Lonchura striata: one gene and its partner. The main gene of each other region encodes a partner of the protein of the gene in region 2 in a complex. Links are inferred from orthologs where the notes say so. Each region holds a gene or a part of one and is shown on either strand. Other genes may lie near its edges.

Region 1 (7,019 bases), on a different chromosome or scaffold from region 2:
TCAACAGGAAGGGTGAGCAAGGCTTCTCCTGCAAACACCCACCTGCCCAGGAATGGCAGGAACTGGACTACCCTAGGACCTGCCCCAGCCACAATCCCTCCTGTGACAAGCCTCAGCATCGAGCCTCAAAGCTGCCAGGGCTGGCAGCAGCATGCAGGGGAGGGGGGACTTACCCAAGCAAGGAGAGCAGCAACTCTTGCACCGTGAAGAGACATTGTGGCCAGCCTATCAGGTCCCTGTCCAGACCTAAAAACACCAACAGAGGGGTGGGGGGAGGGGAATAAAAAAGGTAGAGTAATTATGTTACTAAATTACTTTCAGACAGCATCAGGCATTTGTACCCACCAAGGGAGGATGTGTCCCTGCATCTGGGACATCCCAGCTGTGCAGGAGCAGCCAGCATCCTCCTGCTTCCCCACAGGCACAGAGTGGGAAGCAATGCTGAGCAGCAGCCAGGTCTACTCCCACAGATTAGGATCCTGACATGGGGTCAGTGGAAAACTGCTGCTCGGGCTCCTCATTCTCCTGCTGTGCCTTCTTCCCTCCCTCTCACCTCCAAGTGTCACTAACATTTCTTGCCCAGCAAGGCAGTGGCTGAGCCATTGAAGCGCTGCCAGCTCCCCTTCCCACAGCTACTACTGGAAAAAACCACCTGCTGAGGTACAGGGAGCTCTCTGGGCATCACTGCATTGGGTGGGAGCAGGGATGAGCTGCCCTGACAGGATCTGGGATCACTGCCAGGTCCCCTTCACAGCGACCTTTGCCTCCACGCTGGCTGCCCCCAGTGCCACCCTGGTAGTCTTCCAGGGGAGGGAACTGCTGGGAGCCAAAAAGTCGCCTAGATGAGGAGGGAGCTCCTCACCCGGTATTGCACCTGAACACTGCTCGGGATCTGCAGCTGCTCAGCACAGCACAGCCAACCAGCCACGGTGGCTTTAGGGAGTACAGAGCTCCCACTGCTGTCGGTCCAGCTGGGAAGCATGGGATCCTCAGCAGGACAGGTCCTCCCTCCAATCTGGCTAAAATCCAGCTCCCTGTGTCATGGCTGGGTCACTCAACAACTACTGTCCCTCCCCTCGGTGGCACAGACAAAACTTCTCCCTAAAAATCTACCCAAAGGCACAGGGCACAGCACTCGAGCAGCACTGGATGCAGACCCTCGGAAAAAACTGTGTCCCACCAGCGTCGAGCTGGGTTTTACCAGAACCAGCCTGCAAACACACTGGTTCCTGGTGTGAGATCTGCACAGCGGGCAGGGCTACCCGCTCCTGCCGCGGTCACAGCCTGGCTTGTCCCTGGTGACACTGGCCACCCTGAGCATCTGAGACAACGCCATGACCCTCGGTGAGGACGCGCCATTGGCGATGGCAGGCGGGAAGCGGTCGGGGAGCCCGCCAGCGGCCGTGAGCGCCTCCCAGCCGCATCCCCGAGGAGAGCAGCTGCAGGGGGGCGGCGGGGACCGGGGAACGAGCCCCGGAGGCGGCGGCGGCGGCGGCGGCATTGTCCTTCCCCCCTTCCCCCGCGCCGCTCCGGTCACAACACGGCGTTACGCAAGCCCGCGCTCCGGAGCTCCCGACGTGCCAGCGCGCCGGGGGACGCGCCCGAGGGCCGTCCCAGGCCGGGGGTCCGGCTGCGGGGAGCACCCGGGCAGAGTGAGCGACCCACGGCAGCCCCCGGCACGGACGGGCCCGCAGCCGGCGCGGGGCGGCGGGGCAGAGCAGCCGCCGACCCGAGCGCCCGGATGTTGGCGAGCCCGACCCGGCCCCGGACCCGCACCTCGGGGCTCCGAGGCGCCGGGCCGGGAGCCGCACGCTGCGGCGAGGCGGCGGAGCTGGGCGAGCTGAGCTTCGCCGCCCCCGCCCCGCTCCCCCCCAGCCCCGTGGAAAACAAAACGAGGAAGAGGCAGAAAGTCTTTGTTGGGGCCTTACCGGGGCCGCGCGGCCGTCGTCGGCGCGCTGGGGTTAATCCGCCATGAGCGCTGGCAGGCCAGGAAGGGCCGGGGAGCCAGCGGCCACGCACAAAAGAAAAGTTGTTGAGCTTCTCTCGGCGGGGCTGGCAGGCGGCGGTTCCCCTTCCTGGCCCTGCGCCACCCCACGTCACCGCGCCGGGCCGCGCTCGTTAAAGGCGCACGGCACCGAAACCTCCGGCGCCGCGCCGTGCGGAGGGGGAGCGCCCGACCCCGGCCGCGCTCGCTGCCGCCACCCTGCCCCGGCCAGCGGCGGAGAGCTGTGCCGCTGCGGCCGGCTCTGACCCGCTCCCGGCCCCAGCGCGGCTCGGGAAAGAGAATAGCCCCCGATGCTGCGTCTCCCTCTAACCTGGCCGGACTCACATCCCAGCTGACCCCTGGAAAACTCCCCCCGACACGCACACACCCCCGCGGGCGCGGATTCGACGGGAACCGGACCCCACGGGCCACCAGCTAGACGAGGGAGGAGTCGGGCGAGGAAGGGACGCTGCTGTTCCGGAGACTCTCGGAAGTCATCGCCGCAGTGCCTGGGCTGCCTGCGGAGGCTCAGGGCCGCGGGATGGGGCTGCCCCGAGCACGGCCCAGGAAGGGCACAAGGAGAAGGCTCTTTGGAACCGGCGCTGGGGGCAGCAGAGGAACTTGCGAGGAACGCGGTCGCCGAATGCCTTTAGGGACGGGGACGCCGCCGAGCTTGGCCCGAGACGGAGGCTGTGCCACAGACGTGCCCCGCTCGCCCGAGGGTTCCGCGCTTTGCCCGCCTCTGGCACAGCCTCGCTCTGCGGCCCTGAATTCACCCCCGCCGAGCAACCACCGGGGCCCGCCCGGCGATTGACCTCAGCTTTCCCCGTACCGTGACCGTGGCTGCGAATTTGGTCCGTCTCCGGCGTCGCCGGGGCTCCAGCAGTACGGACGATGCTCTGGAGGCTCCAGCAGTACTGACGATGCCCTGGAGGCTCCAGCAGTACTGACGATGCCCTGGGGGCTCCAGCAGTACTGACGATGCCCTGGGGGCTCCAGCAATATTGGCGGTGCTCTGGAAGCTGCCGGGGCCCGTGCCGCGGCCGCTCTTATTCGAACGGCAGCGCCCGCCCCCGCTGCTGCCCATTGGGCACCGGCGGGCGGGGGGCGGCACACGGCGGGCGGACCGCGGGGTCCCGCACTCGCGCTGGGCTGCGGGGGACAGCGCTCTGCCGGCCACCGGGACCCTCGCGGGCTACTTGGGGGACACATGCAACATGCAACAGTCCAAGCGACGGAAGCCCTGGTGTCGGGAGTGGGTTACAGGGCTGCTTGGGGACACTCGTGAAGGTAACAGTAAGACAGGTGGGACCACGGGGGTGTGGGGGATGTGGGTCTGAAGCCCGCAGTGAGAGGTGAGGACACATGAGGGGAGGTTGTGTGACACGTAGAGGGGGTTGTGCGGGGCCACACGGAGTACTGGAAGGCCACAGTGTGTCAGGGGACACGTGGGGGGACTCTGGCGGTGTGTCACACACAGACACCCCACTCTGCCCTGCAGTGCCAGCTAGGCAGGGGTCCTCATCAGCCCCCAAACCTGTCCTGACCTGCTACCGGGGCCTCGTCTCACTTGGGGGGTCCTGTGCTTGTCCCCGTGGCCACAGCCCTATTTCACCCTGTAGAGGCCCACAGAGGTTCAGTCACGAACTGGATTGTGGTGGCGAATGTCCCCACCACTGCTCAGGCCCCACCAAGACCTGAGAAATGCTTGTTAGGCTTTGGCCTTCACAAAGAGCACCCAGACTAAGCCCCTCTTGAGCTTATTGGATATAATCTGTTCCAAGGAAGTAACAGATGTTTATCGAGCATCTGGTTTTTAATGAACAGACTTGGAAACTTATTTTTCTTGCCTGAGTAACAACCAATGTGGAACAGTATTTTTGTTGTTGAACCTTCAACCAAATTAAATTGTGGCCAAGATGGAAAACTACTATGACTAAAGCCCACTTTCTTGCAACCTTCTAGACAGCAATCCAAAGTGAGACCCTTTGAGTTCTCAATTATAAAGGGCTAATAATGCATACTGAAGCCCACTCTCTAATGACCCCATAAACCACAGTCCAAAATAAATCTCACTGAAAATTCTATTCCCAGAACATAGGAGAGCTAATGTGTATGTCTCAAACATAGATAACTGGATGGTTGTGGCGTCTAGCAAGGACTGTTGGTAATAAACAAGGCCTGCTGACCTTAACACGCCATAACAAGGTATGGCTAAAGAAGAGAGGCAAGGTGAGATAGAGCAGCACTGGAAAAACATCCTTGTTGTAGGAAAAACATCCTTGTTCTAGTTCCTGCTGATAAGCACAAGACAGTACAGCATAGGAATGAGTGGCAGGAAGTGGGCACGGACTACGGGTAGGATTAAGGTGACCAAAGACCCCTAAACCCCTCTGACCCATTTCCAGGAAGACCTGAAAGAACAGACTGTGCATGATAACTAATTTGCATAGAAAATGAGAACTCCGTCTTCAGGCTGGGGAAACCTACCCATAAAAAAAGGTACCCTGCAATTTCCATGCCAAGTGTGTAATTTACTAATAAAACTTTCTGATTATTTGCCAGCCCTGACTTTTGACATTCCTTTGGACCACGAGCATTTAGGAATCTCAGGTGCCTCCTTCCCCTTAAAGGTGGGTCATCATACATTCCCTGTCCCCTCGTCCTCTTGGCCCTGTGGCACATGATGGACAGGGGTCAGACAGATGTGCACCATACACCAGGGTATGGCTCCCCCACCATGTCCATTCTGTGTCCAGCAGAGAATAGTGGAGACAGGCACTGGATGAACGTGGCTTTATTGACTGTGGCAAAAAATAATAATTAAAAAAACCCAACAAAACCAAAAACCAAACAGCCAAAACAAAGGTCTAAACATGTAGAAAGGAGAAGGGATGGTGTTGGAGCCACCAGGCCCCATGCAGAGCATCACATCTGCCTGGCTCCAGCCCACCCGTCCTGGTAACCTGGCACGTGGTGCTGACCCACACCAGGGCCTCCTTGCAGCAGCTGTTCCCTTTGTGCTTGTCCCTGTGCAAGGCAGCGTCCAGCTGACACAGCCTGCTCCCCACGCACACCCACCTACCCACCCACGAGGAGGAGAAAGCCTCAAGCAATGTAGGTGGGCTCAATGTGCCAATGATGTGCGCCTTGGCATTTAGTAGGAAACAGGATATCTGTCCAAGTTCTGTGGCAGCAGCATGGGGAGGGAAGGGATATAAAGAGGAAAAAAAACAATCAGGAAATAAACCAAAAACAACCCAAAGCGCTGAAGCAGCAGTGGTGGGGGCAGGTTCAGGGGATGCCAAACTGTACAACCAGTTCTTCTTTGGCGTCGACACGGATCTGTGAGAGCGCACTGAAGGCATAGGCGGCTATCCGGGACACCTGCAGGCACGAAGACATGGCTGTGTCACTGGTGGCTGCTGAAACTCCCCGTTATCCCAAAGAAACTGCTGCAGGAGGTTAACCTCCAGCCCAAAAGAGTCCCTAAGCCTGTCCTGGGCTTTGCCTCCACCTCTAACAAGGCTTTAAACCTGACCTAGGCTTTGCCTTCAGCTGTAACAAGTTGTGTCAGAGCTCTGGGCAAGCAGGAGGGCATCACTGCTCCTCCAGGACGAGGATGTGTCTCTGGGGAGCACCGCAGGGGCTCGGGGCTCACCCCAGCCCGGCTCACCTGCTGCAGGTCTGCGAAGGGGACAGGGTCGCTGGCGAGCACTTGGTGTGGTTGGTTGGTCAGAGATGGCAGCAGGGGCAGCTTCTTCCAGTGCGTCAGGTTGTTGCTGAGCATGGCCAGGCGTGTGCTGTGAGGGGAGAGCAGTGAACATCAGTGACCTGCCGAGACGTGGGGACATCCAGAAGATGGGTGCTGCACCCCCAAGCACCTGGAACCCCCAGGGGGAGAGAGGGAGAGCAGCAGAGCTGCACTCCCAGCATCCAGCCCTCTGCACTCCCCGCAGCAGGAGGATGAGCGAGATTCCAGCTCTCCTACACAGGCACCTTTCAAGCAGAAGCCATCACATCCAGCCCCCAAAAATCTGCCCCAAGGGCTGGGTGAACACAGGAGCCCTTTGTCCTGGGCTCTGCTGCCTGCACTGCCATCAGCCTTCCCTGAGCAGGCTGCACCCTGCTCTCGGAGATGAGGCAGACTTTCTACACGCTGAGTTCACTCCCCCAGGCCAAAACCCCTGGGACCTGCCCAGGGACACGCACAGCTGTGAAGGACTGCAGGCACCCCAGCGGAGAAGTGCAGGTCCCACCTGTACTGCCTGGCTCTGTCCATGTACTCGTGCTGCTCCATGCCCTGGGAATCCGCTGCCGACACATCGATGATGTTGCTGCAGAGACACGAGACAGTGGCTCCCATTGCTCTCCCTGAGTTCCCTCCCCATCTCAGAGCATCCTCTGACCAGGGCAGACAAAGTCCAGCACCCGACAGCACCCCAAAACAAACATCTCAAGGCCAAACTCGCCCAATTAATGCTGCCAGCTGGCTACAAGTGTGCCAGGCTGGAGTGGCTGTTCACCAGGAAGGAATGCCAGGGACTGCCCACAGCTGCCCTGGGGCAGAGGGAGGCAAGCAGATGCTGCAGGAAGCTGGGGGCTGGTCTGGGCTCTGGGGAGCTTGGCATGCAGCCACCTGGAGGAAAAAGGAACCACTGGGAGGACAGTGTCCTTTGCAGATGTCCTGATAGCCCTGGTACTGAGCCCTAGGCTCACAGAGGACCTGGGCTACTGCCCAGGGCCCTGCCACAGCCCCATTGTGTGCACCCCACAGCAGAGCAGTACTCAGAGCTGCTGTGGCCCTGCATGCTGACACACACCAGTGGCCACTAGCTCTCCAATGTCAGGCAGAGGGCCTAAGAGCCTCCCAAAGCCCTCCCAGCCAGGTTGGACACAGCCCTCTCCCCACATTGCCCTGGTGCATTTGAGGAAAAGCCTCCTCAGAAGGGGATACAATGCTGCTGCCCCTCCAGCCACCCTCTCCGCATCCCCATGGGCTGTCTCTTATATCCAAACCCTGCCCCTATTGCCA
Region 2 (7,614 bases):
GATCTGTTCTGTATTATGCCTTTCATTCTGTAGTTTTCATCCTTTAAGTTTTTTCCTGGAACTTCATGAGGCCAGAAAATACTAACAAGGGTAAATTCTTCAGTCTCCAAGAGAAGAGAGTGTTGTTTTTTGTTAAATCCCTTTGGCTTTCTCACTTGCCTACAGGAATTGCCATGTCTGTGTAGAAGGCTTTGGCTCTGCCTTTAAGTTCTTGAATGACGTTTCCTGCTTCGTAGGAGCAGTGTTATGCTTTTACATCAGCTGCAAATGCTGATGAGTTATTAACCATGAGACTTCAAGCCAAGCATCTTGTGTTCCCTTTGCAGAACCGTGGCTGAATGGAGCTTAAAGGGCCACAGATGAAAGAAAGAACATGAACATTTCTGAAGGTGTGAGATGCCTGGCAGTGACCTCCTTACCTCAGTAATAAAGAAGAGTTTTTCTACAGGAGCTTAGGATATCTTTACTCCAGCTTCTTACTATACTAACTGGAATGGTGCTCTGACAACAATTGCCCATAATAAAGCACTTACCCTACTACAGAACAATATTTTTTTCTCTACTGATAATGTAACTCAATGGCGGAAAATAATGTTTTGATAAGCATGCCCGAAGATCGTTCCTTTCACGTGCGATACAGGTAAGACTGGTAATTTTGCTGTAAATGAGTAAGTGCTGTTAATAATAGAAAGCTAAACAAGTTGCAACAAATAGCTTGATATCTCTGCTAGTAGTGTTATTGAAATTTAAAATGAACTCCATTTTTTTCTTGATTTTTGAGTGATGAAAATTCACTTTTGCTATGTAGCAGATTATATTAGTATGATTAAATGATTGTATAGTACTGGAACTTGCATGGTAGCGGCATAGTACATTATTGCCTGTGTTTCTTTGTATTTGGGGTAAAATGATATGAAGTATGATGCCTGCAGGGTAATGGCTGCTCCCTCTTTTAGCTGTTGGACTGCCTATGCAAATTGCTGAGTTTTGTCTGCTGATGTTCTCTGTACTTGGCCCATTATTATTTTGGTGAATGACGAGGTATTTTCTGTGCTTAAAATAAAGAGGTTTGATTGATAGATGGAAACTGCCTTGGTGCCTTGCACTCAGAAGTACTGTTCTTGCAAGTGAAGAGGATATGGGATTTCCCTTCTGAGAGCTTTTTATAATTTTTCTTCTGAATCCCCTTTACAGACACGGGACGTGTTAGCATTTCAGACTCGCTCTAATGGAGCTGAACTACAGGAGCATTGTGTAGTGCATGGTGTTTGGAAGGGTAAATCGTGCAGTTCATTCAAGAGGAAGGGACACTGGAAGGCTGAAATGATTGTTTAAAAAGAAATAAAAAATGTGGTTCTTGTGTGCTCACCCCACCCCTACCCTGATCATCCTTTCTTTGGAGGCCTTTTCTTCACTAGCTAACAGCAATAAGGCTGTTAACCTGTATTTGTAAGACAGCACATGCTATGGCTTAAAATTAATCCTTTCAACCTTCTGACAGTGTTAGATTGTTGGAGTGGCCTTCTCTTCCATTTCATAGAAGAGAAATCTTTTATTTCATTTCATACAAGTCCAGTGTCCTGGGTGGCAGTGCAGCCAGCTGGAGAAGCTGTTTCATGGTCAGCAAAGAGAAAAATTAGCAAACAAGCTGTAATTTACTGTTTTCTCTCTTTATTTGGCTAAAATCTTTATCCTGTGGCATTGACCCTAAGTGTGATAACTCTGTGCTGCTTCCTGAAGGGACTCACTTCCCAGCATTCCTCTACCACATTTCCCCACACTGCTGCTGGTGCTCTCGGTCCTCCCCAGACAATTGCAGAACATCCTTGCTCACTCTTCAACAAAAGCTGGAGCTGTTCAGTGTGCTATTATAGAACTAAATGGATGAAAAATGTGTTATGGCCAATTGACTAGTTTAAACTGACAGGCTAAAAAAAACTTGGCAAGTGCAGTCAGGGCACAATGTCTTCCTGCTTTATGCTGTATTTCAGTACAGGTCTGAATGAGACCAATTAAAAATATCAACAATAACAATATTCATGACCTTCTTAAATTTTTCTGCAATAACTATAACCTGATTCACATTTAAAAAACATGATGGCAAAATTATTTTAATTTAAAAACATATTAAACTTGAGTTTTGAGAAACTGAAGATTAATTCAGTATATGACCTGGAATTTTATTATGATATTGATAGCTATAATTTGGAAATATTTTATTTTGTTGGAGTTTAAAATTTAGTGGAGGAAATAAAAAGTCATAAATTACTGGAGAGGGAGTTACCAGTTTTTAAAAAAAATTACTTGCAGGTATTATCCCGGGCTTGTTTGGCTGTGACTGCTCTTTCCTTCCTTCTGGCGTTCCATTAGAACTGATTTTAATGAAGTTGGAGCCCACTCCTAAGCAAAGGCTTTACTGTGGGTTTCTGACTGTGCAAGTGTTTCTTTCTCCCCACAGTAGTTCATCAGTATCACTTTTGCAGTTATAAAAATTCTTATGCTGGTAGAAGGAGATTTTTTTGTTGTTGTTGTTTAGTGACTGAAAATAAAATGCTAATGTTACTTGATTTGTATGAATAAATGATCTGTAGGGTTAATATTTGTATAACTTGCTTCTTTCAGCCTGCTAAATTCATACACCAAAAACTTGTAACTGCTTTTATCTTGACTGGAGCAAAAGAAGACAGAATGTGGTTTCTTTGTGTGTGAGTTGTTTGTTTCTAACCTCACCATCAGGTGTAGTTTGACAGAAGCAGTGCTGCAGTGGAGCTGCAGTGGAGCTGCAGTGGAGCTCTGTGCACTGGTTGCTTTGGAGGCTTCTGCTCACAGGGAGAAGCCAAGAGTAAGGGCAGGAGTCAGGAATGGTGTGTCAGCTTTGTTACAGGATGCTGTGGCATTAGTGATGCTGTGCATCTGAACTAGGGAGATGTCATGAGGGTTGTTTTGTCTCTAGGTGTGTTATTTGTACCAACGTGTTTCATGGGAAATTGTTGACAGCTGTGTTCCCCCTCCAAAGCTAAAAGCCCTCTTAGTGGGAATTGAACTGAGTAAAACTCTAAATTGTGCTTAGAGATTGCAGTAATCAGTGAGTGTTACTACCTTCTTCCACTGACTTAATTCTTACCTCTTTTCTTGTCCTTATTGTGAGATGAGAACAGCTGAAGGGAGGGAGACAAAAACAATGAGGCAATATGCTTAGGGTTTATATTAATAGAAATAATAAAGGTTTAAAATAGAATATGAAAAAGGTCAGAGAAGAAGAGGGGGGAGGGGGAAGAAGGGGAGCCAGGCAGGAGGAAAAGCTTTGAGGGCCAGATAAGGATGAGGCAGTTTTACAAACGAGAAATTATTCAGAAGATGCCAGGCAGCTATGGACAGCATAACAAAATGAAGCCCTGTGTGAGCATTTCAAGCAGTATCTGAAAGAATGCTATCCTGTTCAGCAGGAACAGAATTGCCTTAGAAGTGCACAAATGAATGAGGCTTGTTCTCGTCTCCTCTCTCCAGATACATTGAATCTCTTGTTTGGCCACTGGGTGTTGAGTAAATAATTCAATTCAGCCCAGGGAACAGAGAATGTAATGTCATATTCTGCTTGTAACTATTTAATGACTTCCTAAAACATTGATAATCTGGCCCTGTCTAGTCTGCCAAAGTGCTGTTTAACCATTAGTAGTGACAGGTGGAGAACACCTACGTAAATCCTAAAAAAACCACCAAAACAAACAAAAAAAAAAGTGTTAATTTGCATAAGAGTCCTTTAAGTAGCAGAGGGGAGAAAAAAACAAATACAAACCAAAACCAAACCTCTTCTGAATCCAGTTTTGGTACTCAATGGAAAAGCCTTGGAAACTTTTAAAATAACTGAGTGATTTAATAACTCTTATATAACCTGAATAAAATATTGAGTGCGGAGAACTGTGGGAATAAATATTTAATTTTCTCTGTTCTATTTTAGTATAGCTTATTTAGATTTTGAAATGGTAGGTCAGAAGGAATGGATCCAGATGGAATTAAAGTTTTAATTTGCTCTACGGATTCTAGCAACCTGTTAGTACAACCTCTCAAGAGTTGTGTAATTTTTGCATTCTTTTTTTACTCAAGCAATTATTAATTCCTATTTTCATTTACTTCCTGTAATTCTGGTTGAATTTAAAGACTCTGTAATAACTCCTGATTTTCATCAGTCTAAGCCATTTGCTTCTTAGTTGTGTTCTGTATGAAAGATCCCATATCTTTCATTTTTATAGGTTATACTAAATCTAGTGTTGCAAAGTCAAATGATTGTATTTCAAATTCCCTGATGAAATGGTAATGCTGCCTTGTCCTTTGGCAGTTTTGGTGTAGTGTGAAATTAGATGAATGAAGTTTCTCAGGGGGGCTACCATACTGCAGCACTCTCTGATATTGCCCTTGTACATTCTTTAATTGCCTTTTTTTAACTGATTATGTGGCTGATTCATCACAGTTAAAAATATTTTTTTTTAAATGGAACTAATTCACTAAGGGAAGCAGAGCCCAGTGCAGCATTTTCATTGTTATGTCACACACACGTTTTGCTGGAAGTTCTGCCCTTTTTAGCCATTCAAGCAAGAATCCAAGAGTGTGGCTGTGTAAATGGTCCAAATCTCTGCACTGAGAAGCACCATATTTTCTAGCTGTCACTCTAATTGGACGTGTCAGTTAACATGAGGTGCCCGGAGAGAACCTCTTTGGATAGGATTAAGATTACCCAATGAAGTGTTTTAAGTCCTAAACCTTCAGTTGCTGATGGTGTAATCATTTCTGCCTTGTACTTAATTGTACTTAATCATTTCTGCCTTCTTCTTTCTTACATTCGACACATGCACAATGTCATGAGAGCCAGGTGGTGTGTTGTAGCTAATAGGAATGCTCTAACTTCTCTGAGAAGGGTTTGCAAACCTAAAAATACTGCATGTGTTATGGATATCCAGCCTGGAAAGTTGGGCTTGGCAAGAACTTCATGCTGGAGTTACCTTTTGCTGTCAGCATCTTTAGCAGCTACCAAACAGGCAGTGCATTTGGTTGCAAAAGGTAAACATGTCGGTCATCACGCTGTGCTTAAGTTGTGGCACGTCGAAGACCAGCAGGTATGGCAGAATTTTGTGTTGTACTTGTGATACCAGTTCTTCTAAATCTTTTGGAAGTCATTAGAGTTTTCAAAAATATTTCCTTCCTGTTCAGGTGTGAGTAGATGTTTGTATAATAATTTTTTTCCTATTTTAAGGAAATAAAAAAATGTATTGCACGTATGTTAAAAACTTCATCACTATGTCAGGTCAAAACAGGTGACATGTGGTATTTCCACTAAAATAACTTCTGCAAAAGCCAGCATTTGATTGTCCACTCTTTGGCAATATTAGCTTATACTTTTTCAACAATTACAGAATGTCTCTTACTGTTTTGTTTTTTTTTAAATCTTAAAAAAAAAAAAGCTGATATTTTTGCAAGCTTTTTAAAATGCATGTATCCTGAAAAAGCTGGAGAACCATACTGCTTCAAGATTGAGACCTGGAGCTGTTGGCTTTCTCATCTTCTTCTCCCCTGCCTCCCTTGCATCTCAGAACCAGAAAGTAGGAAACATTTGGATAAAAAATATTATGTTTTGTACTCCTGAGCTTACAGAGGCAAAAATGCACATGAATGCTATTGTAGTTTTCTATCAGCTTCTTTGTTCATGTTCAAAATGTAATATTCTACAAATTCATTAATGACTGCTGTATTTTGTACCTGTATAATTGCACAATTAGTTGTTCATAATAATAAAAAATGTTCCAGTGTATTCCAGTGTTCTGGAATAATGGTGTATCAGTGAAGCAACTTGAATTGACATACATTTTGTCATTAATTGAATCTAGATATTTTTTCTTACAGCGAGAATTTTCATAGCAGTCCATAGCAGTTTTCATAGTGCCTAGTATAAGAAATTAAGTGCCAAGGAGTACTGAATTACAGAGGAAGCAACTTGGGGAAAACTAGTCAGTCTTTGATACATAGAATATTCTAATTTAATTTTTTTCCTGTGAATAATTTTGCAGATTACTATGGCATCACCCTAAAAATCTGAAGTGCTTCCATTTGTCAGAATCAGTATTTGTCAGTAATAGTTTGATTTCTAGGTAACTTTTCTGAAATTATCTAGATGGTGAAAACTGTTTTTGAACCCTTCGTGTGCTCCCTGTAGACAAAGCAGTGTTTGGTTTCCTCTCTGAGACCGGAAAAAAAAAAAAAGAAATTCCAGTTGTTTGTTCAAATGTTATTTTGCTCCTCACCACTGAAGTTGTAATTTCCATTTCAGCCTTAGCAAAGCTCACTGGTTGTAGTGTGGTGCTGATTCCCTCTCCTAAACAAATAGAGGCCCTCTGAGTAAAGCAATGCCCTGTTCGGAGCTCAGGTGCTGGACAGAGTGTGGCACTTGGAGTGACTGTTGGCCTTTTTTGTCACGGTGCAGGATGGAGGCTTCCTGCCTGGAGCTGGCTCTGGAAGGCGAGCGCCTGTGCAAGGCAGGAGATTGCCGGGCTGGAGTGTCTTTCTTTGAAGCAGCTGTGCAGGTTGGAACTGAAGATTTACGAACCCTGAGCGCTATTTACAGCCAGCTGGGCAATGCCTATTTCTACCTGCAGGAATACGCAAAGGCCTTGGAATACCATCACCACGATTTAACTCTTGCAAGGTAATTGTTCTCCAGGTCATCCCATTCTGGGAGACACAAGCAGCTGTTCATTGTCCTGCCAAACCCTGCTATTAATACTGGCTAATGAGTGAACGTGGTGGTGGCACAGGGCTGGGGGGCCTGGCAGGTCACTTGGGTGCCCTCTAACCTGGCAGCTAATACTTGGTCTAGCAGCATAATCCTAGAACTGACTGAGGCCTCACCAGGTTTCTGGATAATTAAATGGCTGCTTTAAGTCCATCCTTTATCCTTTCGTGTTTCTAAAACTCAGTGTTTCTAGTTCTCCGTATTGTTAAGCTGCTCTCGTTTACTAGACAGAACTCCTTAATGTTTATCTGTGTAAAACTCATAATGTAATACTGTGAAATCCTAAAACCCTATCCCTTTCATATGCTATTGATGTGTCTGACTTTTACTGATTTGTATAGATCCAATAAAAGACATAGGCATATAATATACTTAACCTCAATTTAGGCATAAATCTATTCTTCCCCCTGCCTTACTCTGCTCCTGTGCAGTGACCTTGGGGCATTTGTTTTGTTGTGTTGTCCCCCAGGTATGACAGTTTGAGTGGTTCAGTGGCAGTCTCTTGCCTTAGTCTCATTTAAAATCTAGAAATGAAGTAGTGCCTCAAGCTACAGAGGAGACTGTAAATCTTAAACCTTACAGTTAAGTGTCTTGTTAAATTAAAGGAGGCTTTTACTTAAAAGGAGATGGTCAAGTAAAACACAAATGCAGTTAAAGCTCTCTTTCTAATGCTGGGACTGGCTTTCTAAATCATCTTTAAGAATTTTCTCTCTATTCTCTTCTTAAATATGTGAATTTAAGAAGTAAATGTTAAGCAGATGATCAATACCATGAATACCAGCAGCTGGCCAAACAGCACTGACAGAACAAGATGTCTGTAATCTCAGACGGAA

What was found. Proteins that work in one complex are often made in the same cells at the same time.
Region 1: the proteins of GPSM2 (region 2) and NUMA1 are in contact, whole or in part, in a crystal structure (PDB 6HC2), measured with the Homo sapiens proteins. The link is inferred for Lonchura striata from reciprocal best matches to the Homo sapiens genes GPSM2 and NUMA1. Residues at the interface, in NP_001307967.1 of Homo sapiens: Ala28, Leu29, Glu32, Cys35, Lys36, Phe47, Lys59, Thr60, Ser62, Ala63, Ile64, Ser66, Gln67, Asn70, Ala71, Phe73, Asn110, Lys113, Tyr146, His153, Lys157, Pro164, Gln165, Arg203, Gly206, Asn207, Asn210, Tyr213, Leu214, Arg228; in NP_006176.2 of Homo sapiens: Ser1901, Phe1902, Tyr1903, Met1904, Gly1905, Thr1906, Cys1907, Gln1908, Asp1909, Glu1910, Pro1911, Glu1912, Leu1914, Asp1916, Trp1917, Asn1918, Arg1919, Ile1920, Ala1921, Leu1923.

What each region holds. Positions count from the first base shown.
Region 1 is NC_134604.1:4,288,751-4,295,769, forward strand, and holds the start of NUMA1 (nuclear mitotic apparatus protein 1), read right to left. Parts: upstream 3,010-7,019; 5' UTR 2,817-3,009; intron 2,101-2,816; exon of another isoform or gene 1,929-2,100; intron 247-1,928; 5' UTR 216-246; coding exon 174-215; intron 1-173. Other genes in the region: ragulator complex protein LAMTOR1, read right to left, coding at 5,279-5,371, 5,661-5,787, 6,244-6,321. UniProt on the Homo sapiens protein: Microtubule (MT)-binding protein that plays a role in the formation and maintenance of the spindle poles and the alignement and the segregation of chromosomes during mitotic cell division.
Region 2 is NC_134611.1:25,004,559-25,012,172, forward strand, and holds the start of GPSM2 (G-protein-signaling modulator 2), read left to right. Parts: upstream 1-4,603; 5' UTR 4,604-6,395; coding exon 6,396-6,694; intron 6,695-7,614. UniProt on the Homo sapiens protein: Plays an important role in mitotic spindle pole organization via its interaction with NUMA1. Required for cortical dynein-dynactin complex recruitment during metaphase. Plays a role in metaphase spindle orientation.